Tamandua tetradactyla: one gene and its partners. The protein of the gene in region 3 interacts with the protein of the main gene of each other region in a biochemical or structural test. Links are inferred from orthologs where the notes say so. Each region holds a gene or a part of one and is shown on either strand. Other genes may lie near its edges. The genes, in order: ANGPT4, ANGPT2, TEK and ANGPT1.

Region 1 (7,697 bases), on a different chromosome or scaffold from region 3:
AAGGAGTAAAAAGGAAATGAGGAAGCAGAGGAAGAATATGGGGCAGGAGAAGAGCTTGTTTCCCCCCTCATCTTCCTCATCTTCCACTTCCTTCTTTTTTAACATGGGAGAGACCTTGGTGTAATTAAACACAGAGGAAGAACCAGCAGAGAAGAAGGTTTGGAGGTGCAGGAGGGGACAGCTGGTTTAAGGAGGCTGAGGAGCTGTGGGAGATGGTTCTTAAACCTAGGAGGGAGGGATGGCCTTGGCTGTGAGGGAACCTCTTTTCTCTGAGACTGAAGAAAGGCTCTGGGGACTGGTGGATACATGGGTGAACCTGCAGATGTAGGGTGGGCAGCTGAGCAGCCTCTCTGCCCGCAGCCTCTACTTCTTGTGGAAGTAGGACGTCCATGGTCTGGTGAGAAGACGGGTGGGTGGGAAGTGAAGATGGAGGCTTGAGGAGGGGGCAAGACTTGAAATGGCCCTGGTAGGCCTCGGAAACAGCTGTCCAAAGAAACACACACAGATTGCAGAGTGACATGGTGTCTGCGCTGGACTGGGCTCCTGTACATGAGGCAAGGAGCTTCCTGGAGGGGGCCATGGGGGTGGGAGGGTGGCTGAGCCAAGTGCTGCAGGGCCAGTGGGTGGGAGGGCAAGTGGGAAGGGTCCCTGGGAAGATGGTGAGCGAGGGCCTGAGGGGGAGGCCAGGGCAGGGATGAAGACAGGAGGGTGAGTGTGTGTACATGTATGTGAATGGGTGTGAGCATGAGTGTGTATGCGAGTGTGTGTACACAAATATATGTGTGAACATGAGTATGTGAGCATGTGTGAATATGAGTGTGTATAGGTGTGAGCAAGAGCATGTATGTGAGCCTGGGTGTGCATGAGTGTGTATGTGAGTGTGTGTAAGAAGCAGTTTGGTTAGGCATGTATAGTACAGACCCTCCACCTCGGGGATGGATAAACCCAGAGGCAGCACAAGACAATCCTTTAGAAAACAGGAGGAAATGATCAGAACTTCAATTTACATGATTTCATACATCAGCTTTTAAAGTTCCATTTTTGTCTGCGTCATACCCTGTATATATCATATTAATACTGAGCATATCACATGAACATTAAATAAATATGCATGTATCGGGGGAGCAAACAATTTTTACTGATTGGATGCGTGATTTAAAGTATTTGGAAACCCCTCATTAAAAAGGAACCTCAGGGACTACTCCTGTCTCCTCCTGCTCTCACCTTGCAGCTAGCTGCCAGCTGCTGTCAGCTGTTTTATACATTCTAAACCCTGTAAATCATCTGCTCTCCTCCCCACCCCCCCGCCACTACACCCAGACCATGTCCTGCACCTGCGGCCAGGGCCCACTCTCTTCCCCTGGTCAGCTCCTACTTGGCTGGCCAGCCTCATCTTGGACTCCACAGGCCACCTTCCCTGCCTTCCGCCCGTCCCAGCCAGGCCTGCCACGTCCGCTCTGGGCCGGGCATACACGAGGTGCTCAAAGTGTTTGCTGGTAGAACGAGCCCATGCAAGATTGAGGACAGGAGAGGCTACAGTGACCCTGGTTTGGGGTCCGAGCTGCAGGGGCGTTCTCAACTCCTCGCTCTCTCCCACCCCTCATCTAAGTCAGCAGCAGACCCTGTTTGCGCCACCTCCAGAAGCAACCAGGATTTGACTGGCCACACCTGCCCCTGCCCAGGCCCTCCCTGCTCCAGGCTTCCCCTCATCCCTCTTGCCTGCAGTGGTCTCAGCCACTTCCTCCAGCTCCTGACACCCACCCTGACCCCTACAGCCTAGTCTCCTATTACAGTCAAATCAGGGGCATCGCTCCAGCCAGTCTGGCCACCTTGCGGTCCCCAGGCACACCGACTCATCCCCAGCTCACGGCCCTTGCACTGCTGGTTCCCTGGCCAAGAACGCCAGTCCTCCAGATGCCTGCGTGGCCTGCTCATCATTTCATCTATTCTCTTGCTTCAAATGTCACCTCCTCTGAGAAGTCCTCTGACCACCTGAGTCCTAAGCCACTCCTGGTTATATTCCTTACTGGCTTCCCTTCCTTCATTTTATAATGTCACCATCTGACACAGGTTTTTATTGTTTATCATCTCTTTCCCCCCCTTAAACGTGTGTCCAGAAGGACACATGCTATTCTGTTTTGAGTTGTGTCCCCAGCTACCCAGGATGAGTCTGGCATGAGGTCAGAGTACAACAAATTTCTGTTGGATGAATGAATGAATGGCAGCTAGGGAGCCCGTTTCCAGTTCTGATGCCTCTGGTTTTGGGGGTGTGGCCTCCGTGGGGCATCCCTGCCACTCTCTCGGCACCATTAAAACAATCTGCACAATTCAGAGACAAGCGTCCCATCAGCTTGGCCATCTGTGACCAAGGACAGACTAGGAGGGGACCTCCACCTGTCAGGCCACAGAGTGCCCCCCCCACCCCAGTCCCGCAGGCCCGGCCGTTACCTTCTGCAGCCACTGCGTGTGGTTTCTCAGCACCTTCTCCAGCTGTCGCATGCGCTGGGCAGGCCTGCCCTCCAGGTACTGTGTGGAGGCTGGGATGTCCCTGCACAGGCTGTGGGAGCCCCTGAAGGCCTTGGGCTCCAGCAGGCAGGGCTCCGGCTCGGGCAGCACGAAGGTGTAGCTGCACTGGCCGTGCTGGACACGGTGTGCCTGGCGGCGCCCGCTCGCCTCCTGTGCCCTCTGTTGGCCTGCAGTCACGATGGCCACCGAGAGGAGGAGGCTGCCCAGCAGCATGGCCCTCCAGGAAGGCATCAGAGAGGTAGCGGAGGTGCAGGGTGTGGGGTCAGAGTCTTCAGGGAATGTGCCTGCCTGCTGCCCAGCGCCGCGCCCGCCGTCGCCACAGCCTGCAGTGGACAAGCCTGCCTGCAGAGCCGCTGCAGCTGCAAACCCGTTTGTCCGAGCTCTGTCCAGGAGGCTATTTATACTTGCTCCAAATACCACAGCTGCTCAGCTTCCTCTCACCACCTCCTGCCCCCCCAGACGCCCCCTCACCTCTATTCTTTCCCCCTTTCCCTTCCTTCCTCTGTGCTCTTGCCCACCAGCTGCCCCGTCCGCACTGGCCCTGCTCTGCCCTCTTCTCCTCCGAGTCCTTTTATTGTCCAGTGAGAGCCCGGCCTCCCTGCGGGGGGGGGTGGGGGGGGGAGAAAAGCAAACCGCACGCGGACACGCGCACACGCGCACACTCACACGCAAATACCAGACACTCAAAGCCGCCGGCTTTGGAAAACCAAACGCAACCGAAATCTCTCTCTCTCTCTTCCTGTCTCTCTGTCTCTCTCTGTGCTCCCCCCTCAAGGCTGGGATCTCAAGTTTCAATGACCCCCCCCCATGCCTTCCCGCTCTCCTCCCCCTCCACTTCACCCCCGCTGATGTTGGAGTGCTAGGAACGAGGCAGGCTGGAACAGGGAAAGAGGGGAGAGGAAAAAACCCGGTGAAGGAGCCCTTGAGCTAGGACAGTTGATCAAGATCAGGAGGAACTGGTGTCCCAGACAGACAATCAACCTGCCTGGGGCTGCCCGCTTATGGGAAACACCCGCCCACTGTTGACCCATCTGGAGCCAAATGACCCCCCACCTGAGTGAGTCATTTTCGGAGAAGGGTGGAGCCACCTGACCCACCCAGCTGCTCTGTCTACCACGGGACACCACCTTGGGGAGAAGGGAGGGTGCAAGGAAAAAGCCCCAAACAAGGAAGGGGGAGAGGGAGTAAGCACAGCTAACCTATAAGAGCAAGTGGCCTCACATGGCTATCACCTCTCACCTTTCTCATGTCTGTCTGTGTGAGGGTGCCCACATGTCTTCTCACAGGTGTATCTAATACATTTCCTGCCTCTTACTTTCTGCGCTGTGCCCTTGAATTCTTTCTCGTGGCATGGCCAAGAACCTGGAAGCCTAAATTCGGTAACCACACCAGTAAAGGGATGGCCAGAGGGAGCCGGGGAGCCAAGGGGCAAGGGAGTCCGGGCAGGGGATGAGGGAGCAAATCCAGTTTGCTTCTTGGGATAGAAAGAATCCTTCCAAGGCAGAAAACTGGGTGCTTCAGCCAGCAATCCGGCTCCCTGTCCTTTCTCCCTTGAGGTCTGGAGGAACGTTATTCCCTGGGTGGCTCAGTTGGTGAGACAGTGACGAGAAATTGTACTGTCCTGGGCTGATTGTTCCCTGGGCTGCCTGTGACCGCTGGGAGAAGGGCACGGAGTGCGGTCAGAGCTCACCTCTCACACAGAGTGGCTGACCTTGAACAAGCACCCCTCTGGGCCTCCACATCCTGATCTCCTCTTGCATGAGGAACGCATGTGCGTCCTCAGCATGGGGATAAGGAGTTTTTGGTTTACTTGTTTATTTACTTGTTTACTGATTCAATTCCTGGCTCCACTACTTACCAGCTGTGTGACTTTGGGCAGGTCACTTCACTTCTCTGTGCCGCTGTTTCTTCATTGTTGAATTGGGGAAAATTATATCATCTACTTCATAGGGTATAAAAATTGAGTTAGAGCAGTGCGGGCCCAGGGGGAGCAGGGAATAAGTGTCTGCTATTGTCATGGGTACCTGTATTTTGAATCTCTCCTCTCCAAGCCACTGGAATTTATTTAAACATTTTTTTTTTTATCATCACAATCAACTCTTTTTTTCTTTTTTTGTGAAAAATACTTTGTGTGTGTGTGAAAAATAACATATATACAAAAAAGCAATACATTTCAAAGCACATAGCAACAACTAGTTGTAGAACAGATTTCAGTGTTCTGTTTATGGGTTACAATTTCATATTTTCAGGTTTTTATTACTAGCTGCTCCCAGACACTGGGAATTAAAAAAAAATATCAGTATAATGATTTAGCAATCATACTCATTTGTTAAACCTACTTCTCTGTATAACTCCACTGTCACCTTTGAATTTTCTCCCACTCTTTGGGGGTATTTGGGCTGTGCCCATTCTAAATTCTTCATGCTGGAAGGGGCTGTTGACAATATGGGATGGGGGATGGAACTAGTTGATGTTCTGGAAAGGCTGGCTCCTCTGCATTTCAGGACTTATCTGGTCCAGGGACCCATCTGGAGGTTGCAGGTTTTGGGAAAGTTATCCTAGTGCATGGAACCTTTGTAGAATCTTAAATATTGTCCTAGGTATTCTTTAGGATTGGCTAGAATGGTTTTTGTTGGGGTTTGGCAACTTATGATAGGTAGCAATGCCTAACTGGAGCTTGCGTAGAAGTGACCTCCAGAGTAGCTTCTTGACTCTATTTGAATTGTCTCAGCCACTAGATAGCTTGTTATACTTCTTTTCCTCCTTTTGGTCAGGATCCAGCCACTGGAATTTTAAGTAAACTCCCTGAGGGCAGGAATTCATCTGTTTTTCTTCATGCTATATTCCCAGGATCTAGAATAACTCCCTGGGGACAGTAGGAGCTCAATTAAAAAGTTGACCACTGCTTTTATTATTTTGTAATTTCATTCAGTCTGGCAAAGGCCATCCCCAATACAAGGGAAGACGCTGCTTCAGGCTGAAGTCAAACCTCGGAAGATGGAATGGAGTTCCTCACCCAGCCTCAGGGTTTGGATTTGTCTAAGGACCCCCTGAGGGCAGCGAGGGCCTGGCTGGGGAAGCCCTTGACCACAGGAGGACATGGTTAGGTCTGTCCTGGAAGTCGGACACACAGGCAGGGGTTCAAGTCTGGAGGAAACACCAGCTCCATGGATCCTGCTGGCAGTCTCCCACGGACATCTGTATGTGTCCCCTCAGTTTGTGCTTCTCCCCGGGCAAGACGAGGAAGCATCTCCTTCCTTATCTCTCCTTCCATCAACAAATTAAGATGGAAAGGCCCAGGAGGGGGCTACTGCCACATCCACCAAGTGGTGCCTGACGGGGACCTGCCAGGCCTTGTGCTGCCCAAGGAAGTCCTTGGGGGCAGGATGGGCCTTTCCCAAGGTCAGTGTGGTCACGTCTCCCCATTGCTTCCAACTTGGAGTCAGGTCCCAGTAAGCTCTCTCACCTCACCTGCCATCATCCTCTCCCACTGTCCCTGGGTTGAGGCTTCCAGGTTCTCAGCCATGCCATGAGAAAAGAATTCAAGGGCAGGGCATGGAAAGTAAGCAGGCAGAAAAGTTATTAAATACACCTGTGAGAGGACATGGGGCACTCTCACAAGGACCGAGGTGGGAAAGGTGAGAGATGATAGGCAGCGTGAAGCCATTTGTTTTTATAGATTAGCTTTATTGACTCCCTCTCCCCCTTCCTTGTCTGGGGCTTCTTTTTCTACCCTCCCATCTCCCGGGGGGAATGCCTGGTGGTAGCTAGTGCATTTGATTAGGTCAATTGGCTCCACCCTTCTCTGTAGGTGACTCACGCAGGTGGGGGGCCTTGAGCTCCAGCTGGGTCAGCTGGTGCCCGGGGTTTCCTGTAAGTGGGTAGCCCCAGGCAGGGTTTCTGTCTCGGACATCAGGCCCTCCTGCCTTTAACTGTTCTTGCTCAAAAGTTCCTTCACGAGTGTTTTCTCTCTCTCCCTTCTCTCATTGTTCTAGCCTACCTCAAATCCCCCCTCCAAGAGTTCTCACCCCTTAACAATCAGGGATACTGAGGGATGAAGGTGTTTCTTATGGAGCTGCTTCCCGCTTTTCAGGGAGCCTAGGTTTTGCCTTACGGGGATAAGAACTTTCTAGTCATTTCATTTAATTTGAGAGGGGCAGAGTCCAAAGGGGGTATTTGGAACGGCGGAAAAATCTTCACATCAGCATTAGCTTCATGTGAAACGCTTCCAGTCTGGAAGAAATAAACGGTGAGAAGTTTAAAAACGTAAGGGCCAATCAATAGCAAGAGGGTAGAAGTGAGTGGGCCCAGGAGATGCATTAGCCAAGTGTGACTGGGCAAGAGGAATTTAGGTTTCCAGGTTCTTGGCCATGCTGCAAGAAAGAATTCAAGGGCACAGCACAGAGAGCAGGCAGGCAGAAACTTTATTAGCTACACCTGGGAGATGACATGTGCGCACGCTCACAAGTAAAGAAAGATGAAAGGTGAGGGGTGATAGGCAATGTGAGGCCATTTGCTTTATAGATTAGCTTGACTTACGCTCCCTCCCCCTACGTTTGTTCGGGGGGGGCTCTTTTTCTCCCCTCCCTTCTCCCCGGGGCAGTACCTGGTGGGGATAGTGCTTTTGTGTGGGTCGGTTGATGACTCACTCAGGTGGGGCTCATTTGGCTCCAGGTGAGTCAGGGTGTTTCCCGTAAGTGTCCAGGACACCAGGTCCTCCTGACCTTGATTAACCATCCTAGCTCAAGGGTTCCTTCGTGTTTGTTTGTTTTCCTCTCCGCTCTCCGCCTGTTCTAGCCTGCCTCAAATCCCCCCTCAGAGAGTTTCCACTCCTTAATCTTAAGGGGTGCTGAAGGACAAAGGTCTGCTGTCTTCTATACGTCTTCCTGCTTTTCCGGGGGTGCAGGTCCTCCCTGATGGGGCATAGGATTTTCTGGCTATCTTGTTTAAGTTGAGAGAGGAAGAATCCAGAGGGGTGGTTAGAACACCTGCAAATCCTCGCATCCGCATTGGTTTCGTGTGAAAGGCTTCTAGTCTGGAAGAGATAGACTTGGTGAGTTTAAAGATACAAGGGCAAATGTGAGAGAAGGATAGAAATGAGCCTAGGAGATGTATCAGCCAAGAGAGACTGGGAACGAGGGAAGCGGATGACAATCCTTTGGGTCCAAGAG
Region 2 (8,005 bases), on a different chromosome or scaffold from region 3:
TGTGGTTGATTGGTTGGCTTTTGTTTTGTTTTATTTTTTGACTCTCATTCCTAAACCAGAAGCCAGAAGACAAGTTAGTTAGAGTTCAAATTGACTTTCTCAGGTGCACATCTTACACCACTGAGCTAGACCAGAGAGAACAGGTCTAAGCAGATCAAAAGATAAATATTAAGTCATTTATGATGATATTTAGCTACATAGCTAAAGAAGGAATTTTGAAATGCCATTGTTCTACGGATCAAATATTTACTAATTGAACCTGGGAAGGAAGAAATCTTGTCACCTGTCCTTTTCCTCCTTTAAATAGTTTCTCAAATACCCAAGAGAAGGGGATAGTTTAAGAAAGAAATATGAACTTTGCTTATGGAGTCTCAGGTATTCCTGATGTGTACTTAATTAAGCAAATACAATTTCACAGTCTTGAATTTGGCAAAGCATTCTTTTATGCTCCTTGACTGTTTATTTTAGGAAATGACTTACCAACTGGGCAGCTTAGAATGTTTACTACTATATTTCTTTCATTCCTTACTGAGGCTGTTAGCACTGACCATTAAGCACGCCATAGTAAATGCAGGGAGATTATTAAATGTGAGCATAATGACTTAAAAAGAAGTAGAAAGTTAGAATTTCACATATATTTAGAATACAGTTTGTCATTCAGATATTTGAACCTGTACTGCTGTATACTTTTTAAAGTTTAGCATTATTATTTAAGCATCTGTGGCTTTTAGATGATTTTAGTGACTTTCTTAAGAAAAAAGAAAAACCTACTGAAAATTTGCCCAGAAGGGATAGTGATTATAAAGATATTACTAATGACTTTTATATTATCTATATTTGACGGGTCTTTTTGATAAATTGTTTAAGTTTTATTGTTTTCTGTTCTTCGATTTTAAGCAACTGTTCTTGTTGCAATGACCATTAGTGGTGAGAACATTCATTCATTTAGGCTTATGGCTCAAATGATGACTTAGTTGTTTCCTCTCTGATGGCAGGGGAGTTAATGTGAAACTTAGATTAGGATCTAAGATCTCTGCTGAGATTAAGATAGGGTGTCCTAACAGACAGCTTATGGTGAAATAAAAGATTGAGAAAATAATTATACTTTTCTGGGGCAAAGTGTTGAATGATGCCAACAAACTTTTTAAACGTTTTTTATGGCTTTAAATAGTCATATTCTCTACCATGTAGCAATTTTCTAATGTAATGTCATCATTATAATACTTAATTTACTATACATGCATTTTCTTTAAACTTCCTTTGGAATACATATAGTCCATATAAAGAAAAATTCCAGGGTAATTATATATATATATGTATGTATGTGTGTATATAGTTCCCAGGTTTATGTGGGAAAATGATCTTTTATGAAAGAAAAACACAGCTTTCAATATCCTATTTTGGTTAAACTCTCTATAAAAATTCATGAAACAGCAGAGTTCTTGCCTGCCATGCCGGAGACCCGGGTTCTATTCCCGGTGCCTGCCCATGCAAAAAAAAAAAAAAGAAAAGATCTATGAAACAGTGGTACAATCATAGCCCCAAGTACAAACCATGAAACCATCTTGTCATGGCATAAATTCAACGTAACTGCCCCTGAGCACTAGTCCCACATGAATATATTTTTCAAAGCCAGTTGCTGGAATTGAAATGTGGCTGCAGTACCGAATCCCTACAGGACACTTGGAAAACTTACCACCGTTTACAAATGACAAGTCCTTGCGGGTAAATCACTGAGATTCTGAGAAACATGAGGTCTGTTTTATTTAATTTCCTCTCATTTACCAAGTCATAATCTATTTTAGTAAATAAATTCAGGAAATTGGTAAAGCACTTTGCTCCATCCGTTATTTATCAGTAATTAACATGATTGTCACGTTTTTCCTGGCTCTGGCACTGCTGTATTGCTTACAGCTTCCCTCACATGCCTGCAACCAGTTTATAATGTCTCTGTGTTACTGAGTTTAAACTAAAACAAACAAAAGAGCATAGCAGTTTTGCAGAGATGTGCACTTCCTCTCCTTCACTTTATTAATACAGATTTCAACTTCAGAAATTTTCTCTATTCTGACATTCTTTTTCAAATAATCCCTTTCACCTATGACCATTTTACACACTGGGATAGAAGTTTAAAAAGGATAATTCATTCAAAGCTACCCATAAAGCATCTCTGTCTTGCTCTAATCCTTTTTGTTGTTGTTATTAAAACAAAGCTGATTGTAATAGCTTTAATTTTTCATAAAGTAAAACTGATTATTTTCCTACCTTCATTAGCCATTGAGTGTTGTTTTCCATGATGTTTTCCAGTACTTGCAGCCTCTGCACCGAATCATCGTAATCTAGTGGTGCATCCCTCTGTACAGAGTTAGATACGTAGGAGCTAGAAGAAGAGCGACAATTGTCCATCTCTGGTAGGAGAAAAGTGTAGCTGCATGATCCATGCTGAACCTGATACTGCTTTTTCCCTATGCTCTCCATGCTTTTTCGAAAGTTGTTGTAGGCTGCCGCTAGGACAAGATCACAGCTCAAAGTAAAGAAAACAATCTGCCACATTCTTTCTTTTGGTAATAAACCACCAGCTTAGCAAATGTCAAGGCACATAAGAGTCCAAAATACTAAGCTGTTCTCTAAGATGCACGGCTATGCTGCCATGGTTTAAGGTCAATCAATGAAAGTCTTCTTTTTTCTCCTTTTCTAGTAGCAAACTTGATTTTTAATGCTGTCTTCTCTCCAGTCATCCAGTAAACTGTCAGATTCCAGAAGGGAGAATAATCCTGCTCAGTTGTGAGTGCTGTATTAGCTTTACAGATCAGATTTAATGTTTCTTTGTTTCTCTTTTCCCAGATTCTACAGTGTCTGTATCTGAATCAATCACTTTCCTTTCCTTATATGATAAGTTGATAAGAGCAGCCAGACATGTGTAGCTAGCTGCTCCGCCCTCTTGGCTTATCCGTTATCTTCCTGTAGGGGGGTCACTAGCCAGGCAACAGGAAAAATCGGAGCATAATGCTTGTTGTCTAACTAGGACTATATACTGCAGAAACCCTCTGGGAAAAAACGATCAGTTACAGGACCCCTGGGTATTTCATAGGCACCACCCTAATTGAGTATTTCCTAGAGAGAGCAGTCGGTCTCTTTTGTGTGGAACTGATTTCACAGTGTGAAGCTGGTAAAATATCTAAGGTAACAACTTTAATTTTAAAGTACAATGAAAGTTCTTGTTTTTTCCTTTCGGAAGAAAAATACTACAAATATGTCAGGACTTTGGTTTATTTTTGTTATTACAAATAAAGAGGAAGACGTTTTGCTCTTGTAAACTCTGTGCCTTTTCATAGGAAAATAGTTTCATGGATGTTATTTGTCCTTTGAACTGTTATCTGAGTATACAAAACTTTCATTTTAAAAGTTTGTTAGGAAGATCTTGCTTTATTAAATCATGCTAGGAAGATCAGTTTTTGAGCTCTGACATTTATTCTTTCAACAAAATATCCATTTCAATATTCAAAATAAACTTAAAGAATAATGGACTGATTTATAAGAGGTGGGGAAGTCAAAATACAAATAGAGTATGTTGAAAGAGGAACACATCTTTTCTTTTTTTTATATCAGGATTTGCTCAAAACCTATCATTTGTAACATGATTATTCAGGATCAATTAAATTAGAACCTCTAGGTGTTTGACTTAGGCAAATCACTTCCCCTTTTTAATTAGGCTCTAATTGTCCTTACCTGTAAAACGCAGGAGTTACACTAACTTTAACGGTTTTCTATTTCAATTCTATGACTCTGTAAATCCTGCAGGTCACCTCTTTTAATAAACTAAAACTTAATACCTCAGAGATTAATAATATGTGAATTTGCCAGCTAATATGAACCTAGGAAAAAATATCTATCCTTTGCTATGATCTGTTTATGTTATAGATATATTATTCCCAGTTAGTGGTAGAATATCTGGTACATTGACTTGATGGACCTCATCTAACCATGAAGGTCAAATATCAGTCAATAATCATTTAAAATAAACTTTCAGAGAAGCAAAGAATTATGCTTTTAATTCTTAGGTGACTATGGAATTTGTACAGTGAATTTTGTATTCTTGAATTTGTTGACAAGAGACCTAAATAGATCTTTCAAAACTCCATTCTATGAATATAATGAGTCCCAAGCTTCCTTTAGAGCAGGGATCCTTAGCGTGAGGTCTATGGAGAGAATGCATGGGGTCCATGAACTTGGATAGGGAAATAAGTACTTATTTTTTATTAAAATTTAACTGAAATTTAGCCTTTCCTTTAATCATGAATAAACAACCAACGAAGTAGGATTAATATCTATGACTTTCTCATCAATTAAAGTCATAGAATTATGACTTTATCAGATATTTCAAACTATCACACTCAGCACTAGATCCATCCCTAGATCTTATTTAATATCTGAAGATAATAGCATATATCTTTATTTTGGAAAAGAGTTCATAAGCTTCACCAGACTACCAAAGGGCTTGAAGAAAAGCACAAAAAATTTAAGACTCCTATTCTGGAAGAATCATATTAATAGAATATGAAATTTGATTCCACAAAGATTTTGATACATGGTTTCCACTAAAGGAAAAAAATAAAGAAAAATGTACCCTTTCAGACAATGAATTGTAGAGCAAAGCATCAAGGTTTTGAAGATAAAGCCTGTATTAGAACTCTGGTTCTGTGTGACTTTGGACAAATGCTTAAGTTCTCTAAACCTTAGTTCCCTTACTTGTAAAATGGAAATAATTCTGTCTCCGTACCATTTTCAGAATTAAAGTGATATGTAATAGTAAATGTTATTTAGGAAGGTTAGTTCCTTTTTCCTTTAGGCACTTTCCAATAAATGGAAATTAGTTTTTATACCATCAACTATTATAAATTTGCTATTCTCTGACTGAATGTGAAGTAATGGCATAGAGTACAAGTTTTTTCTTCTGATAAATTTATTCCCTATTTGAAAAAAGTATATTATAAAGTATTAATATGTGGTTTAAAAAAGCATTCATGTATCTTCCAGGAAAATAGGATAGTTTAAAAAGACGAAAGCAGAGGAGAATATTCCAAAAGTATGTATAGCCTACCAGTTGTGTATCAGATGCTCTGCTAGACACTGGGGACGAAAAGATTAATGTAACTGGGTTTCTGATCTAAAGAAGCTAATAGTGGGGATGCAAGAATAGTTTAGTGGTAGAATTCTCGCCTGCCAGGGAGCCCTGGGTTCTATTCCTGACCCATGCACTTCCCCAAAAAACAAACACAAATTCAACAAATGGTGCTGCAGTAACAGGATTCTCACATGGAAAAAGAATGAAATAGGACTCCTGCCATACAGCATACTAAAAAAATAAAAGAAGCTAATAGTATAGTGAGAGAGAGAGACCCATAAATAGATATGATGAAAGAATTGTGTGGTGCACACAGAAGAAAAATAATGTTGCTTTCATGGTGGACACTGTTCCTACTATGTTTGGTTTGGACATTGTCTTTCATCTAATCCTCTCAAAGTCAGAACATGAAATGAGTAGCTCATTGTAGATTCCTAAATAGAAATTGTTGGAACCAACCAGAGAGTAGCAAGGTTTTTCTATAAAGGATCAGATAGTTAACTTTGTAGGCCATACCCTTTATCACACAGCTACTCAACTTTGCTGTTGCAGCATAAAAGCTGCCTTATACAATATATATAAATGAATGGGCATGGCTTTGTTCCAATAAAGCTTTATATATGGCTACTGAAATTTAAATTTCATATAATTTTCACATATGAGATATTTTTCTTAGTATTTTTTTTAATCATTTAAAAATGTAAAAACCATTCTTAGCTCAAGAACTATTGAAAAACAGGCAATGGCTGTTGCTGTAGTTTGTTGGTTAACAAATCTCTAGTTAGACCATAGGGAAACTTACTAGTAGGGGCTCTGAAGTGGTTAGTAAATCTGCTCTAAAATACACAGCCAAAGTAAACTGAAATCTCTGATCCCTCAGATTATGGTATGAGTTCTTAAAGATTCAAGAACACAAGACAAGCCAAGGAAAAGGGACTTTGTGAAAGGGGCAGGAACATTTACCCAAAGTGAACGGCAATTTTGAAAGCTGGATATAAAATGTAATACAGGGAAGAAGTTCTAGAAAAAAAAAATGACTCAAGTACAAAGCAAAACATCACACATGTGCACCAGCCAAGCACAGGCAGTATAATACTAAAAGTTGCAGAGATGTTTTTGTAGTAAGAGCTGCAAACTTGACTGCTATAACTGATCATGGAGGAGATCAGAGAAGATATACAAGCCCATTGACAGCCAAATTATGAGAACCAGCAGGAGACCCTAGAAGGAGACAAAGAAGAACTGGGTCTAAGAACCTCACAAAGAAAGAGAGGCTGGGATTGTGCCTTTACCCAATTGTGACTAAAAGAGCCAACAGTTAAACCTATTTACTTGGTTATATTTATGCCTGGAGTAATTGTTTAGTACACTATATGTAACTGATTGTTTTGCACTTTTTACTATTGGACGAGTAGCAAAAGAAGAGTGTTGTGTTTACTTCTATCCCCTGGCCTGTGATTCGTTTTTCTGAGGGATTAAAAGTTAAACATAGTCCAGACTGCACTCTGCAACATAGATTTGATTGCGGTTCTTAGAACTGTTCATTTTCAAAGAGAATCTTGAGTTTTCTTCAATGACTTGCTGACAGGATAGCTGAAGGCAGATGAAGCTATAAAATGAGAAGTATTATTACAGGCTTCCCAAAATCAGTCTGCTTGCCCAACCAAATTTTTTTTCTAACTTCTGCCAAACAGCTGTGCATGTTGCTATTTATTTTCTTAATAATGTTTGTTTTCTCCCCCATGTTATATGTCATCAGCTGAAATTTCAGAGGCTCCCATTTATTCTCTGTAGAATGGAATCAAGTTCTAGAAATAATTTGTCTCTGTTTCAGCTTGCTCTGTTGAACAAAGGCCCTAATATGTGGGTAAAAGCTAAAAGGATCTCATGCCAGTTCGGCCTCTCTGACCCCTCCAAGAATATAAATTGTGGAGGCAGAGATCTGCTTCTATTTGGATTGTGCAATCGGACTGATCCCAATTTTTCAGAGGGCCTAGGTCATCCAGGGAAATTGTGAGGCTCTCTCACACATTTTTCTGTATTTAAATGGTGTCTCAGGAAGCCAGAAACCAGAAAAAGATGTCAAGTTTAAATGCATACAAAGTGGGGCAGCCCCAAGCAATAGAGTACCAAATAAAATTTGCAGGTGGGCTCACATGACCTCCGCTTTTGTGCATCAAGCAATGTAATATTCGATATTCAGGGGCCGGAAGTGTGACTGAGAGATGAGAATCCCAATCTTACCTGGAGAGAAAGTATTGCTTTCTCATCTGTTAAAATCCTGATAATATATTGCAAGCATAAGCTTTGAAGAAGACATTCCTAATTAAAAATACATGGAAAGTATTCAAACATATTATAGGCACATTGGTCTCCTGTATTTATAATAGATTTTGTGCTGGATTATTTTTCCATCAGATTTGGGCCATAGCATTACTGAGTAAATCTCATGCTTGCTCTTTTCAATACCCTTTAGCTATAGTCTACTTTAAATTATGTCATCTTTGCCTCTGGGTCTCCAGAGGTAGTGACTGGTGTTGGCTTATTTGACCAACATGACCATAAATTTTGAAAGTGTGCTGTGTTGGTATAGAAGGAACTTTCAATACTAAATGCCCTACAACTGAAGATGGGACTCTGTTGTTTTGATTATTAGCCATTTGTGAATGAATGGGTACACTTGAGGATGCTCAGGTAGCTTTCATGTTAGAGCTGGAAGAGATGTTAGGTATCATTTTGTCCATCTCGCCTCTTTCCCTTGCTCTGACCTTTTGAAAATTGAGAAGATGAATTCATCAGTCAGCATGTTTATACACAATGTAATGTTCATTGTACAGGGAAAACCATTAGAAAGTTCATTGAACATGAAATTATTGCTAG
Region 3 (7,637 bases):
CAGATCTCATGTGGTTGATAAATATAGTACACACACACACAAAAGCAAACCAAAAAAGGAATGATGATAATTAGTTTAAAGGGGCATATTGTTGCAGAAATTAGCATTATTTCTACAGTAATATGAACTAGCTGCTATATAAATACTGAAACCATCTCCGATCAATTTTCATTTTCAGCAATTTGCATTACAAACTTAGATTTTTAGAATATTACTAAATCCTCATTATAATTGACTGCTGAGAGCAAACCAAAAAGCTATAAAACAAATTACTTTACATGCATTTCTGTTCTCTTATTGGATTTTTTTTGTAATTGTAAGCATATTTAAAAATGAAATATTTCAAACATGTAGAAGAATGTAAAAATAATATGATACTTATTATCTTTGGAGTAAATTCTTTTACTTCATATAACATAGCCCACACCATTAAATACAGCAAATTTTCCCAAATTTATTTTCATTATTAATTTGGTTTTCATTACAATAATTAGAATGTTTTTAAGCTGAAGGGTTTAAAAACAAACATAACGTATCTGTGACTTGCACTTCAGATTTTGATTCTACTTTCAGTCTGTGTCACACAGGATGAGTGAGCTACAGAGATATACCATTATCTAGAGAATCCGAGCAATATACACACTAACTCTATAAACATTCAGACTAACCAGCCTCTAAAACAGGTTTCAGTACTATCCTGTGCCTGATGACCTTGGCAACGGCTTGAACTTTTGCTTCCTTGGGTTAATATAGACTTTACGAATTATTATACACCGAATATTTTTGGTAAATAAAACAAAAATTATATAGCCTTAATCTTTCCAACTCCAACTATAAGAAAAAGCAAAGAGCATGGAATTTTCCCGTTTTAATTAAAAGAGGACTCAGATATGAAATCATTACAGAAAAGCATGTTTGTTTTCATTGAACAGTATATTACATTGTCTTCAGGTATTGGCTTATACGTATGACCCTCATAATTCTTAGCATGAATTTTCATTTTTAAAAAATTACTGAAGATTTTCTTTGAAGCAGGTAAACCCAGATTTCTTCTTTTGAAATAAGGAAACACTCAAGAATGAGGAACAGAACATAATGAACCATAGTAAGTAAGTCTCTTCAAATAAGGTGACTTAGTACTCAGAGTCTGTGGCAACCTGGGATAATCATCCAGAAGGGACACACTAGAAAAATCAGTTCATGCCCCAGGGACTTTGCATTTCAATCCGTACATATATGAAAAGGAAAATCAAAGAGAAACAGTGTCTTTGCCCCAGTTATCCCTTGTTAATCAGCACTAGGAGTTGGTGAGAAAGCCCAGATGTCACTGTTTGCGAAATAAAAAAATTAAAATTAAAAATCAAAAAGCCAAACCTTACCAGAAAGGAGCAAACTGACTCCATAGAGAACTAAGCCGGCTAAAGAGTCCATGCTTCCCCAAATCTCTCCATCCAGTTTCCACAGCTGTGCATGAGGTCCCAAGGATCCTTTCAAAAACCCAGAGGTTTGTGACTTTCCATTTGCATGTTCCACTAGGTCTTGTTTACAAGTTAGAGGCAAGAAGGAACAGTACAGAAGCAGGCTGTAACAGTCTCATTTCTGTCTGAGCACAGGGAGTTTTAAGTTCCTTTTTCCTGTTTCCTTTGTAGATTAGGATGGGAAAGGCTGTATCTTAAAGGCATTTGGTGTCAGAGTAGCTGGAGGCACTGCAAGCCCTATCTATCTTGCAATTCATCAAAACACTTATCTGTGGCTGTTGCTTCTGCCGCTGCTTTGGCTGCTGTTGTAGGGGTAGAGGAATTTTAGTCGAAGTGTAGTCCTGGTCAGCATTTTCAGAAACAATAGGGGTATCCTCTCATAGGCGGGAGACAGAATAAATAACAAGCCCTCCACCTATGTATGGTATGCGATGATGGTCAGCCCTTCTCAAACCACTAACAGCTCTCTTGGGTCCTGTAGGGATCCCTGAGAGAAGGGGCTTTTGGGTGTGGAAGCAGTTTTTGCTTTTGTTTTCTCGTTTCAACCCACATGACTTGAATTGGGAAAAGAAGTTTTCCGTGATGAGAGACCACAACCCGAGAGGCAACTAATTTAGGTAATCACCGGTGAGGTCAACGCTCAGTGTGGACATGGAACCAGAATCCCAAACTGTCAGCCTGTTTTCTTTTACACAGACAGTTCACTTGTTGGCTAAGGGCCCAGAGATAACCACACTATTTACTGAATCCGTAATTTTTATTAAAAATTCATCTGGAGGGGATCTAATTTCTTGAAGAATTTGGCATAGAAAGATTTCAGGTGTGAAAAGGATTTCAAAATTAAATCATACACAAAATTTTAAAAATAATCTGTATGAAAACCACACATAGATTAAATTGGGATTAAAAAAAAGATATTATTCATATGAACAGAGAGAGTACATGGGCCAAAAGGAAAATAGCCATCTGGAGTAGCAATGCCGAAAATGAAGTCAGAGATCATAAATTTATTCCAATGATAATTTCCCCACAACACAAATTATGACTTCAGAAAAAAAGCGTAAATGCTCTATTCATCACCCTGCTTTCATGCCTGAGGAAGGAATTGTCTGCTCCTCCTTTTCCTACTCACCACAGGAAGGGACAGATGTGTAGTCTTGCCTAATTTCTGTCCCAGATTTTACCGCATCCCTGATGATCTTGAGAATCAGTTGATGATTACAGTTTACTGGGGTAAAACCAGCCCAGGTTCTTTTTCCAAGCAAATCTGGGTTTAAATACTGGCTCAGCCACATGAGTGACTGAAGACAAGTTATTTAACCTCTTACAGTCTCAGTTTCAACTGCTGGAAAATGGCAGAAATATCACCTTCGTAAGTTCTTGTGAGGATTAAATGAGGTTAAAATATATAAAAAACATCTGGCACTGTGCCTGGTGTTTCATTAAATGTTACACCAGAAGACTTTCATTAAGTGTTAATGTGCTCATTCCTTTCATCTTTCCATTCTCTTTCTGATTTAGGCCACAGCTGCTTTAGCCAGAAAGCCATTCTCTATTCCGATGAGGTGGCTTTAAGATTGGCGTCATAAAGAACTTCTCTGGGAATTGGAATTCTGGGGTCTAGTCCTGGTTCTACCATCATCTGCCTGTGAGACCTTGGACAAGTCATTTCCCATCTCTAGAGCTCAGTTCCCTTGACTGTAAAATGATGTATTTAGACTGGATGTGACTAATTTCCCTTCTGATTCTAACATTTTATGTCTAAATAACTAAATAAATTATCCTACACTCAGCATCCCCAAGTTGATTTCTGTGAGCTATATATTTTCCTAGGGCCTTTCATCTGGGCAGTTCAAAGAAGATGCTGGCTTTGTGTCTCTATAACTATGAAAGCCTGGGTTAAGTCATTGATATACTCTATTTTAAGAATACAGTGGCTGAAGCTTTGCGAGGGCCTTTGGCCCCAAGCCATAGAGGACAGCAATGGAAGGTCTTGGAAATAAACAAGTTCTACGATGCCTGCCTCCCCAGACTGGTTCTTGCTGCCAGCACAAGCTTTCCCTTTGTGCTTGTTGGTCATACTAGGAAGTCGTCATGCTCATGCCTCCTCCTGCTGGCTGGTTCTTACCGGCTGAAGTAAGGTTCTTACCTTGTTTCCTTTTGGGGGGCTACCTCCTTCTGTTATTCAGTAAAGCTGCTCAGTTTTATCCCTTCCCTCATTATCCAGAAAGACGACTTGTTCTTATTCCATCTATCCAGAAACATTATTCAGGTTCTTCCTTCCTCCATTACCTGGAATGGATGACTCTGTTCAATTCTTCTCCCTTAACTCTAGAATGATTGCTCAGTTTAATTCATTTCTCCCTTTTCCTGAAGGGCCATGTAATTTAATTTCTTCTGTCAGGATCCAGAAAGATTATTCCATTAATTTTTTCCATTGTTACTCAGAATAGCAACTTGGTTTCATAAATGCTTCTGGGCTTTCTGAGACTACAATTACACAGCTGAGCAGCTTTTCTTTGGGATATCTGGATCTTTAGCATGAGATCAAAATTCCAGATGTAAAGTGTAAGTAACCTATGGACAGACATGCTTTACTCCAACCTTCTGCCTCACAGATCTGAGAACATGGAGAATCAATCAAGGAACAATAACGTGAGCTTCACTACACACTGTGGGGCCAATAATCCTCCAGTCTGATTGGCAACAGGTTGGGAAGTTGCCAGACTGGATGGCATGACAGGATTTCCAAGGGAAGGGAGAGGCCACTTCCATGTCTGGACAGGAGTTTCTCCGATGCACAACATATTAAGGAAATACCACATACTTGGATATGACCACAATCCTCTAGAAAGCTGATAATAGCCATCAGCGGGGCATGTCCATTCCCTGAAAAGCCTTGGTGGTGGCCAGCCGGATCAGCTGCTTACCTCTGCTGCCCCATCACCTGGGAAAGGTTGGATTGCTCTTCTCTCAACCCTGCCTGATGAATTCCTATTCATCCTCTAGGTGTAACCGCAAAGAAAAGACTTCCCTGACCACCCAATTCAAATTCAAATTAGGCCTCCCCTACTATTTCTCTCAGAACACCCTGTTCTTTCCTTTCATGACAATCACAACTAGCATTCAAATAGTTGTGTCTTTAACTTTTAATACCTGGCTCCCCCAGTGCACTGCAATCACCATGATGCAAGGACCATATCTAGCTTGTTGGTCACTATTTCCCAGACTGAACACAGTGCCTGGCATATAGTAGGGGTTAAATAATCATTGAACTAATCAATGAAAACGCTACCATTTCACATGCTCACGTCAAGGAAAGAGCTTCGGAGTCAGGCAGACCTGGACTACATCTATTGTATCTGTAATTTACTCTGTGTGACCTGGGCAATTTATTTCATGTCTCTGAACTTCACTTTCCTCATCTCTAAAATGGGGAAAAATAATACTTAATAGGGAGATATTATATATACACAGTATCTGGCACAAGGTACATAATGAATGAATGCTTTCTGTTGGTTCCTTCCCACCCACAATCATCACGACTATTAGACTGTTTTATAGAGTTATTTGCAGTGAGGAAGCAAAGTCACAGAACAGTTAAGTAACTTGTACAGCTGTGGCTAGCAGACAACACTAGAATCCTGGTCTCTTGGCCCCAATTTGTGCAATTTCTAATATACGACACATTATTTTTCATAGTTCACCTTCTGATTGCAATTGCATTAAAGAAGATAAACAGAAATGAAGGAAACATCACAAACACCATCGGAGTAGACACAGACCTTAGGGTGTATTTGAAATGAAGCTTTGACAGGTAATAAAAAAGTTTGGTGACCTTGAGCTATGCAGACAGTTCTCAATGTACTTCCACAACTGAAATAGCTAACATCAGGATCTGTGGATGCTTCATTGCCTCTTCCCAGGAAAATGAAAGGGTTTTTTTTCAATAAGTCAAGCTTGTTCAATTTAATTTTATTTTTTTTAGACACACTTATAGCAGAACAAAAAAGAAAACCAAACAGGCAAAACAAGCAAACAAGACACTTGGCTGACATTTCATTTTCTATTGTCTGCTTTTGCAGTTACAAAATTAAAAAAAAAAATCTATAGGCAATAATAAAAGTCTTGGAGACTGATTAGCAAAAATAACAATTCTACCATAAACAGATTTTACACACAAGAGGTCAATTTCATAAATATTAGTAAAAGCTTTATGTGCGTTTGTTTTTTTTTACCACTTTTATGATATACCCCAAGCCAAAATCAAAGCTGTGTCCCAATACTTATGTGTAAGGGAATCCCTGGCATATTTGTTGATAATAATCACAACCTGGAAATAAGCTGTGATGCTTTGGAGGTTTTATGAACCCCCAAAACAGATTATGTTCTTAAAACATGAATTCATTCCTGTGGGTGTAGACCTGTTATGAGTGGGACCTTTTGATTAGGTTATTTCAGCTGAGGCATGCCCCAGGTGGGTCTTTATCCTGTTACTAGAGTCCTTTATAAGAGAATGACACTCACACAAAAGAGAGAAAAAGACACAGAAGGTCAGAAAGAAAGTCTCAGATGGAGCAGCCAGAAGCTGAAAGCAATGAAACGAGGGTGAGAAGGACCAGCAGGTGCCATGTTCCCTCCCATCTGACAGAGGAGTTCAGGTATCATCTGATAATGCCTTAATTTGGACGTTTTCATGGCCTCAGAACTGGAAGTTTATAAGCTAATAAATCCCCACTGTTAAAAGCCAGTCCATTTCTAGCATTTTGCCTCTTGACAACTTTAGCAAACTAGATACAAGCTATCAAAAATGGTATACATAAATCACGGTACACATTGGAATGCCAGATAAATGTTAAATGATGTGGTGGCAGCACATTGACATGAAAAGATGCTTATGGTATATTGTAGAACGAGAAGAAACAATTTGAAATGTATATATTTCATAAACAGCGTATATTGATAAACAGCGTGAAATATATACATATATATACAGTGTACATATATACATATACCACAAATGTACACCAAAATATTAAAAGTGATTATTTTCTTGGTTATTGGGAAACTGTTATGATTTTTCCTTGTTATTGTTTTCTATAATTTCAGCATATATATATATATATATACACACGAAAAATATTAGGGGAAATCTTTGAGACAGTTGACCCAGGACAGTAGATGTGCATTAGAAGACCCACTGGTAAATAAGAAACAGGATCCAAGCGAACCTCAGCTTGCACAAGGTGAGCAAACAAATCAGGGTGCCAACTGTCCACAGTGTATCTTTAACATTCTGCATTTTGCAGGGCTGTGGGCACTGACCCTTTAGAGCCACCACGTCTGGCTTCTTAAAGAGTATCATGAACATTTTTGTGGGCTGCTGTACTTAACAGTGGCTGGGAAAGAAAGGAAAGATCATCAACAATTAAGTCCTGGCTGTAAGCCAGGGTGCCACATTTAAGTTGGCAACACCCACTCTGATCTAGAGCAGATGACTGTGGAAAATACCTGACCTTCTTTGAAACTGATTGACTTCAATCCACCTCAGTGATTGCAGCTTTTTTTTCAGCATCTAAGTTTTAGCCACTAAGATACATTGATATGGGGGAGACACAGAAATAGAAGACATGATCTCTGCTTTTGAAGCTCACAATTACACAATCCCCATGTGGAGACAATGCATCAAAACAGGAAAAGTTAAGTAACAAAATCTGGCATCATGTGGTCAAACATAGTATCTGTTTTAGTAGTCTTTGCTTCTGGCTGCCCTATGACCATTTGACAACAATTTGCATTCCTTTCTTCCTTCTCCCGGTATTTCTTTGGCGCATGTGATATCTTTCCAGATAAGCTGTAAGCCTCTTAAGGCAAGAGCTCTGTACTCTCTTCCAGATGATCCAATGCAATTTTCTCATAGGCTTAAGGAAAAGAATAACCACTATGAAACTATGTAACCAGAGGGAGAACAGGCTAGAGGAGGGAAAAAGGCATTTGGGTCAAACCAATTTATATTCTCTTGCAAACTGAAAGATGGTGGTGTGAAGGTTATGTTCTGGTGTCAGCTTTGTCAGGTAATGGTGTCCAGTTTTCTGGTCAGGCAAGCACTGGCTAACCATTGCTACAAAGATATTTTGTGGCTGGCTAACAAACTGGAAG
Region 4 (7,305 bases), on a different chromosome or scaffold from region 3:
ACAAATAAATGAATTAATTGCACTTACATGCACCGAGAGCCTCATTTTCTGCAGCACTTCATTTCCTACCATACGCCAACTACTTGGAATCAAAAGAGAAGTAGTACAGATTGCAGCATTAAGCTTACCGAATGGTTACAGTAAAAAAGTTCCATTTGAACTATCAAAATAAATATACCCCATTAAACTGTGAAACTGAAGTGAAGAAAACCTCTAATTAAAGGAACCTTAGGAGAGCTCTGAGCAAGTTCTTTACTGAATGCACTTACTTTCTTGATCCTTCTACCAATCAATGTTAACAATGACAAAAGATATGCAAATATAAGCAGACAATAGTCAAGCCAAACTGCTGTGACTCATACCAGCAAGGACATTTCAGCATATCCTCAGCTTGATTTACATTAGCAAGGGTCAGTGTAACTAAAGAACATTTTAATAGTTATGCTTGGCTATTATCTGGAAACTATGTCATAATCAGTGACCGAGAACAACACAAACAAGAATCAAATTTATTTCCTACAAATTAACATCAGAAACATTGCATGATTCAAACCCAGTAGAATCATGTATTTACCCCGTCACAACTGAATAATTGCTTAGCAACAACAAATATGCATTACTATATTTAAATCACCATTTTGACTGTATGTTTTGGGCAAACAAAATATTACATTTTTGGTAGAAGGGCTCATTCAAGACAAGTTGGGACACTAAAATTTACTGCCAGGCCTCCAAAATAATCCAGACTAATTCATAATTTTTAAATGCCCATTAAAAAGCATGGTATATTAAGACCAGCAGAAAGCTACTCAACCAAATTCATTTGCTTTTTGATGGAAATAAATTTTGTCAAAGGAAAAAGCAGATATCCTATTTTAGACTACTATTGTAAGTAGTAACTGAAATTTAAGTTACAGTTATTAAAAGACTGCAGAATTCAGTTAGCTTTCCGTTGCACCTAACTTTTGATTTTCACCTATGGTCTGTACTAGAAAGACTAACTACAGTTCCAGGCTTGGAAACCCTAGAACTACCAAGTTTCAGTTCGCATGTCAAATAAAATAACAGTGATCTTAGTTCAGTCCCTAGTGGACAAAAGTAGAATAACTGCTACACGGCAGGATTCAGCAGGCGCTGACCTAAGTGAGTGTGACCCAAGGGAACAAAAAAGAGCATTTGTCCTTTTCCTCTCTTTTATCTTCTCAAAGGGTTTGCCCTGTTAAGGGACTAAAAGAAGTCTCACTGCATTCCTACCTCTATGCACCAAGTGACTCTATCTGCAAAAATCCTGTGGGGGAAGCTTTTCAAAACAGGACACACTGTATCCTTCCCATGACATAGTCACTTATCTGTTGTTTACCTGTTACACAATGATACAGAGATCAAAGAGACTGAACTGCACAAAGTATGTTCATATTTTAATAGGCAGATGTTCAGCGAAAACTTAAATGATTGAAAGGTAGCAGAATAAGCTATTCTATTTGATTTCTATCAATTGGGATTAAATGCATACTTCACATGAACTTCATGTGGACATTTAGAGTCCCAAATGGCACTGTGTCTGGAGAAGGGAGGTACTTGAAGAAAACAGCAGTGCCTACAACAACCCAATAATCTGCAGGTGCCTGTCTTCAATGAACAGCCACCACTGACTCAATCTCTCCCTTCATTTTGGGCAAACAGCCCCTTCCTGTTGAATTCACATTAAAATTTATTTTCTTGATTTTTTTCTCAAGCACAGAAGTAATATGTTATAGCCATTTACTATTCTACAACTTATTGAAATCAATAGTCCCCTTTCCACACTTACACAATTTCTCCACCTAATATTACACTTCATATTTATTTTCATTTCAAGTGAATTTTACTACAAATTTACAACTAATATTACTAAAATAAAACAATAAGCATTTTACTATGAGTTCCCATTCTAGCTGTATAAAACATCCTGGTGTAAAATTCATTTGATCCTAATATACTGTTGTCATTCTTATTTTGGTTTTGCTTTTTCAAACTTGCTCAAGAGGTACTCGGTTCTTTTTTAAAGTAAGACTACTCAAGTTAAACAGTAAATAAGAGAAAAACAGAGATGTCACAAAATGTGCCATTACTAGGCACACAGTGGGAGTTCCAGCATATCTCACCGGCTTGCGTATGCCTAAAAACCTTGGCATAAGGTGAAGTCAGACGGAGAGAGAGCCCTCTTGTACTTGCAAACACTGCCCGGCTGGAGCCAAAGGTAAATACACAAATGCCCCCCTAAGGAGCGTTAAGTTAGCTGCAATGCAAGAACGGAGAAGGAGCGGTGCAATTACAAACTGAAAGCAATCACTTACTTTTTGCAGCCACTGAGTATAATTTTCCATCACATGCTCCAGATGTTGGAGTTTCTGGGAAGAGAAATCCGGTTCCACGTGTGGAGCATCTCTCTGCAGAGCGTTTGTGTTGTACTGGTCTGTCGTACTCTCACGACAGTTTCCGTCGTGTTCTGGAAGAATGAATGTGTAGGCACACTGCCCATGTTGAATCCGGTTATATCTTCTCCCACCGTTTTCTGGACCTCGGCGCTGGTTGCTGCACCCTATGTGAGTCAGAACGGCAGCGAGGAAAGCAAAGGAAAGGAAAACTGTCATTGTACTGCTAGCGCTCTCCTTCTGTGCTGCTCGCAAAACTCGCTCCTTTCTTCTGACCTTTAAACTACTTTATTTTAGGCAAAACTGCTGGTTTGTTTGATTTCTATTTCCCCCTCAAAGAAAATTTTTTAAGAATCATAGAAAACTAGCCATTTGTTAGCTGGGTTCTAAAATGTTATTATTATTATTATTTTGTTTCACTGTAATGATATTTCCTTAGTTAAAACTTGAGATATTTATTGCATAGTAGCTCAGATTTATTGTTTCCTCTCTGTGTAACAGTTAAGCGTGCAGCCTGCCTGAGCCAGCGGCATGTACATATTCTAGACCCTTTCCTCTACCCTATCTGCTGCAGATCTGCTATTTTCTCCCAGACCTCAGTGAGTTTTATTAAGGTTGCACATCCAAGCCAAGCTGGAAGCAGGCAGCCTTTCACAAGATGACTTGACAGGAATGCATGAGTGTGCCCCTATGCTAAGGATTGCCGATGGCTTGGGGCAGCGGATCGTTTTACAAATTGGCTAGATGCGCATGACCTAGATCATGTATGGCCCTCCCGCCCCTTCTGCAGACAATTGCCTTGAGCCTTTAGCAGATTCAAGGAAAATCAATAAATAGAGCAGTCCACCTTAATACACTTTCGGTGTGGGTGCTGACCTACTAAAATCTAGTAGTAGTTTTTTTTTTTTAAGTTTCTATTTAGTTAGGGGAATCCTAATGAAAAAATTGGTATAATATCCAATGAAATCAATTTTGGCAGTGACTGATAAATCTTTATAAGTTTTTTTTTTTAATTTAAAAACATTTATTCTTGACTCTAGAGGAAAAGCTATTAAACCCATTTTTAGAAATGGTGTTCTTTTATCCTATTCCTTTGGGCTTTTAAGAACTGAACAAAATAATCAGGAAAGGTGAAATTAGCAAGACAATATAGTAATTTGGGACTCACAGGAATATGGCATGTGCATACTAAACAGAATGCACTAAGTACTTTCTGGGATATGGATTTTAAATGAAACTTGTCCTCTCATCAGAATACAGCCTTGAGTGCTCTGTATATAAATTAAGCAACTTCCTTATAAAAACAACGTGGTTACAATTTCAGACAGTTGCTTGAGAATGATTAATTCCTGCGGTATATCCTCATCACATATTTCACAAGGACCCCGGGTGTTGCCTGGCTATCTTTAACTCCATATGGAAGTTCCAGATAAATCCTCAATATGACTGCTTGGACCAATCACCCCAGACCAAAAACGTATCAGATGTGCCCATGGGCTGTACAGGAGAACTCTTATGTGTTTCTATTAGCAAAGAAATTAAAATTAACAGGTTAATTAAATTAACTTCTGTTAACTAAAAGCAGGCTGTAAACACTAGAAAAAGGGAGTCAGTAAATATAAATGATAGGTCATAATTATAGAATCCAGGGCATGGCTTTGAGATTTTCACTAGATGTGTGCAGAAAACATGGATTATTAGCACAAGCTTCCATCAGGGACTGGGAGGAATTTTCAGCAATAAACCTCTCAACTGTAGTCATGCGGTAAAAACAGAAGTCACAGATATAGACTGTCATGTCCTGGAATGGAGGCAGGGCTGTAGATGATGGGCAGTAGAGGTTAGAGATGGACGTTTGGGGAGAAGTAAAAGGAAATGGCAAACCAAATTCCAGATTCCAGAAAGAAGATGATTTACTTGGAAAAAAAAAATAGTGCTGAGATTCATCAAATCTGACAGATATAGAAGCAAGCTCTGCTTAACCATAGCAATAAAATCTTTGGCTCACCTCTGTAGCTTCCTCCTGTACTGTTGCATGTCTCCACACACGTGGAAAATAATAATGATGTTTTTTAAGTGTTTGCTATTTTTCATGCCCTGTGTTAAGTACTCATTTACTCGTTATATACTATCTCATTTAATCGTCCCAGCAACCCAAAGACATAGATAGAGTGTTTAACTCCATTTTGTGGATGGGGAAACTGAGTCACAGAAAAGCTACATAACTAGCAAGTGATGGCTCCAGTATGTGAACTCGGGCAAACTGATTCAGAGCCTTTGCTTCTACCACTATGCCAGCCTGCTTTTGAAAACCTCTGTGAGGAATGAAAGCAACTCCAAAATGTTCCAGCTATATTAATTTACAGTCCTAAGGCAGGTAAGCAATGGTACCTAGAAGAAAAAAGAACTGATTAAAAACCCGTTTATCCCTCCAAAATGGTTTTAAATTTTCTCTGTATTCCCCCCAAAATAAAATAAAATAAGTGACAGATAATCCACGAAAGTGAGATTTTTAAGGATCCAGAGGGAAGAAATGGACTGGCAAAGCATAGATTGTCTAAGAACAATTTCTAACATTACTTGTTTTGAAAATTCTCCATGGAAAAAGGAGAACTCCAAACCAAAACCTATAAATGCTTTGCTGAGAACTAAATACAGCAGAAAATTGGCAGAAGACAAATGGATGAGCAGTGAGGTCTCTGATAAGGTCCTATGTTTTTAAAACAGTCAAGGTTTTTGAAAAATGTCTTCCCTCCACGTGTGTGTGTATGTCTATGTGTGTCTGTATGTGCTTGTTCATGTGAACGCTTCCAATCTGAACAAACGAGAATGAGGGATGTATATTTTCTTGAAGGAAAAGTCAACACTAAAGAAAGGAAACCCTGAAATGCAAGTTAAAAAAAAAGGCGGGGGGGGGGGGAGAGGGTAAGAGGGGCACAGAGAGACAGAATAAAGAAAGAGATATAGGGATTTATTTCTTTATTTTAGAGAAAAAACGAACACAAACATACGAAACCAAGACACTAAAAGTACAATTGCCAATACAGAAAGAATATCTGAGGGTCCATTGTAAGCAAGTGGTAAAAACAGGGTTGTGGATATGCAGAATCAGCTCATATCTTGGAACTCCAGCTAAGGAGATGTAAGGTATTGAGATGTTAAGGTATTTGACACGCAAAGAACATTAGACTCAGGGACATGAATCAAACCAACAGCAACACTGCTGGTTTTATGATTATTCAGAAATGATTCACAATTCAGGGGACTGTGATATTGAGGGAGTAAAATATTAAATATGCCCAAGGTTACGTACATTTTTAAATTCCTCTACCAGACCTCTAAACAGCAAAGCGGAAAACTTCTAAAGAACTAATTCCATTCACTTGCATTCTTCAGTAGCTTGACCTGAAAGCTTCCAATTGGTTTTCATGATTAGAGTTCTGGAATAAGAAGGTGAACTCTTTAAGGCTCTGGTCGCACATTGTGCTGGTTTGAAACTATTATGCAGTCCAGAAAAGCCATGCTCTTCTATTCCATTCTTGAGGGTGCAGATCTATTGTGGGCAGGGCCTTTTGATTAGATTGTTTCCATGGAGATGGAACCCACCCAATTCAAGGTGAGTCTTAAATTCTTCTTGTGAGAGAATAAAAAGATAGTGAAAGAGGAGAGAGCCCAGAAACGTTCAGAGAGAACAGAAATGCCCAGCGAAAAATATTTTGGAGAGAACCACACAGAGCCCAGAAAGAGAAACATCCCAGAGGTGCCAAGAGTGGACCCACAGGACACAAAGAGCATCAGAGAGATGTCCCAGGGTAGGAGAGCAAGGACCGACAGAAGCTCAGAGAGAAAGCCACTGGAATCGGAGGCTGAAAGCAATGCAATCAGGGAGTGAAGGACCAGCAGATGCCAGCCACGTGCCTTCCCGCATGATGCAGGAACCCCAGATGTCATCAGCCTTTCTTCAGAGTCAGGGTATCTTTCTCTGGATGCCTCAATTTGGGCAATTTTATGGCTGTGGAACTGTAAATTTGTAAACTAAAAAAAAATCCCCTTTGTAAAAGCCCATCCATTTCTGGTATATTGCATTCTAGCAGCTTTAGCAAACTGAAACACATATCTAAAAATGAGTCCTAGTAAAGGCAAGCGTCATCTCAAAACTCCTGTCTGACAGAGAACACCATTTATATGGGAACTTGATGACCCCAAATTTGTCCTAAGAACAAGTCTTTAGTTACTTCTTTTGTGAAGCTTTTCTAATCTCTCTGGGCCCAGAAAATAGCTTTCTCCCATGTATTTCAATAACCACTTCTTCATATTTCCTACTGGGGATTAAGTCATATATCCCAGAAAAAAAATGTTCTTAATCATAAATCAATTTCTGTGGGAATGAACTTGTAAATAGGACCCTTCTCTGAGGTTATTGTTAGTAAATGCGTGGTCATCTGAATAAGGATGGGTCCTAGTCCCATTTCTGGAGGCTTTATAGGGAAGGCCACAGAGAAGAGGGCACAGGAAACAGTCTATAGCTGGAAGACAATGGAATCTGAGAGAATAAGGAGAAGACACTGCCATATACATGGATAAGATGGAAAAGCCAAGAAACTCCAATGACTGCCAGATAGCCAGAAGATATCAACCATGGGAAGAAGGAAGCCTTCTAGCCTCTAGAACCATAAGCCAATAAATATCTGGTGTTAAGCCAACCTTCTGAATGGCATTTGTATTAACAGCTAGTGTGCCTGTTTGAAACTGTCGTGTACCCTAGAAAAGTCCATGTCCTATAATCCTCATTCAGTATTACTGGGTGGAATCTTTGTTATTGTTTCCATGGAGATGTGACCCACCCAACTGTGGGTGGTAACACTGATTAGATTATTTCCATGGAGATGTG

Evidence for each region.
Region 1: the proteins of TEK (region 3) and ANGPT4 form a complex in vitro, tested with the Homo sapiens proteins (2 studies listed by BioGRID and IntAct). The link is inferred for Tamandua tetradactyla from reciprocal best matches to the Homo sapiens genes TEK and ANGPT4.
Region 2: the proteins of TEK (region 3) and ANGPT2 form a complex in vitro, tested with the Homo sapiens proteins (7 studies listed by BioGRID and IntAct, with this or other methods). The link is inferred for Tamandua tetradactyla from reciprocal best matches to the Homo sapiens genes TEK and ANGPT2.
Region 4: the proteins of TEK (region 3) and ANGPT1 form a complex in vitro, tested with the Homo sapiens proteins (6 studies listed by BioGRID and IntAct, with this or other methods). The link is inferred for Tamandua tetradactyla from reciprocal best matches to the Homo sapiens genes TEK and ANGPT1.

The regions. Positions count from the first base shown.
Region 1 is NC_135327.1:22,808,253-22,815,949, forward strand, and holds the start of ANGPT4 (angiopoietin-4), read right to left. Parts: upstream 3,008-7,697; 5' UTR 2,758-3,007; coding exon 2,449-2,757; intron 1-2,448. UniProt on the Homo sapiens protein: Binds to TEK/TIE2, modulating ANGPT1 signaling. Can induce tyrosine phosphorylation of TEK/TIE2. Promotes endothelial cell survival, migration and angiogenesis.
Region 2 is NC_135329.1:34,715,900-34,723,904, reverse strand, and holds the start of ANGPT2 (angiopoietin-2), read right to left. Parts: upstream 3,010-8,005; 5' UTR 2,554-3,009; coding exon 2,266-2,553; intron 1-2,265. UniProt on the Homo sapiens protein: Binds to TEK/TIE2, competing for the ANGPT1 binding site, and modulating ANGPT1 signaling. Can induce tyrosine phosphorylation of TEK/TIE2 in the absence of ANGPT1.
Region 3 is NC_135328.1:69,154,626-69,162,262, forward strand, and holds the start of TEK (angiopoietin-1 receptor), read right to left. Parts: upstream 3,020-7,637; 5' UTR 1,432-3,019; coding exon 1,380-1,431; intron 1-1,379. UniProt on the Homo sapiens protein: Tyrosine-protein kinase that acts as a cell-surface receptor for ANGPT1, ANGPT2 and ANGPT4 and regulates angiogenesis, endothelial cell survival, proliferation, migration, adhesion and cell spreading, reorganization of the actin cytoskeleton, but also maintenance of vascular quiescence.
Region 4 is NC_135332.1:152,108,058-152,115,362, forward strand, and holds the start of ANGPT1 (angiopoietin-1), read right to left. Parts: upstream 3,003-7,305; 5' UTR 2,634-3,002; coding exon 2,337-2,633; intron 2,331-2,336; exon of another isoform or gene 2,175-2,330; coding exon of another isoform or gene 2,145-2,174; intron 917-2,144; exon of another isoform or gene 73-916; coding exon of another isoform or gene 28-72; intron 1-27. UniProt on the Homo sapiens protein: Binds and activates TEK/TIE2 receptor by inducing its dimerization and tyrosine phosphorylation.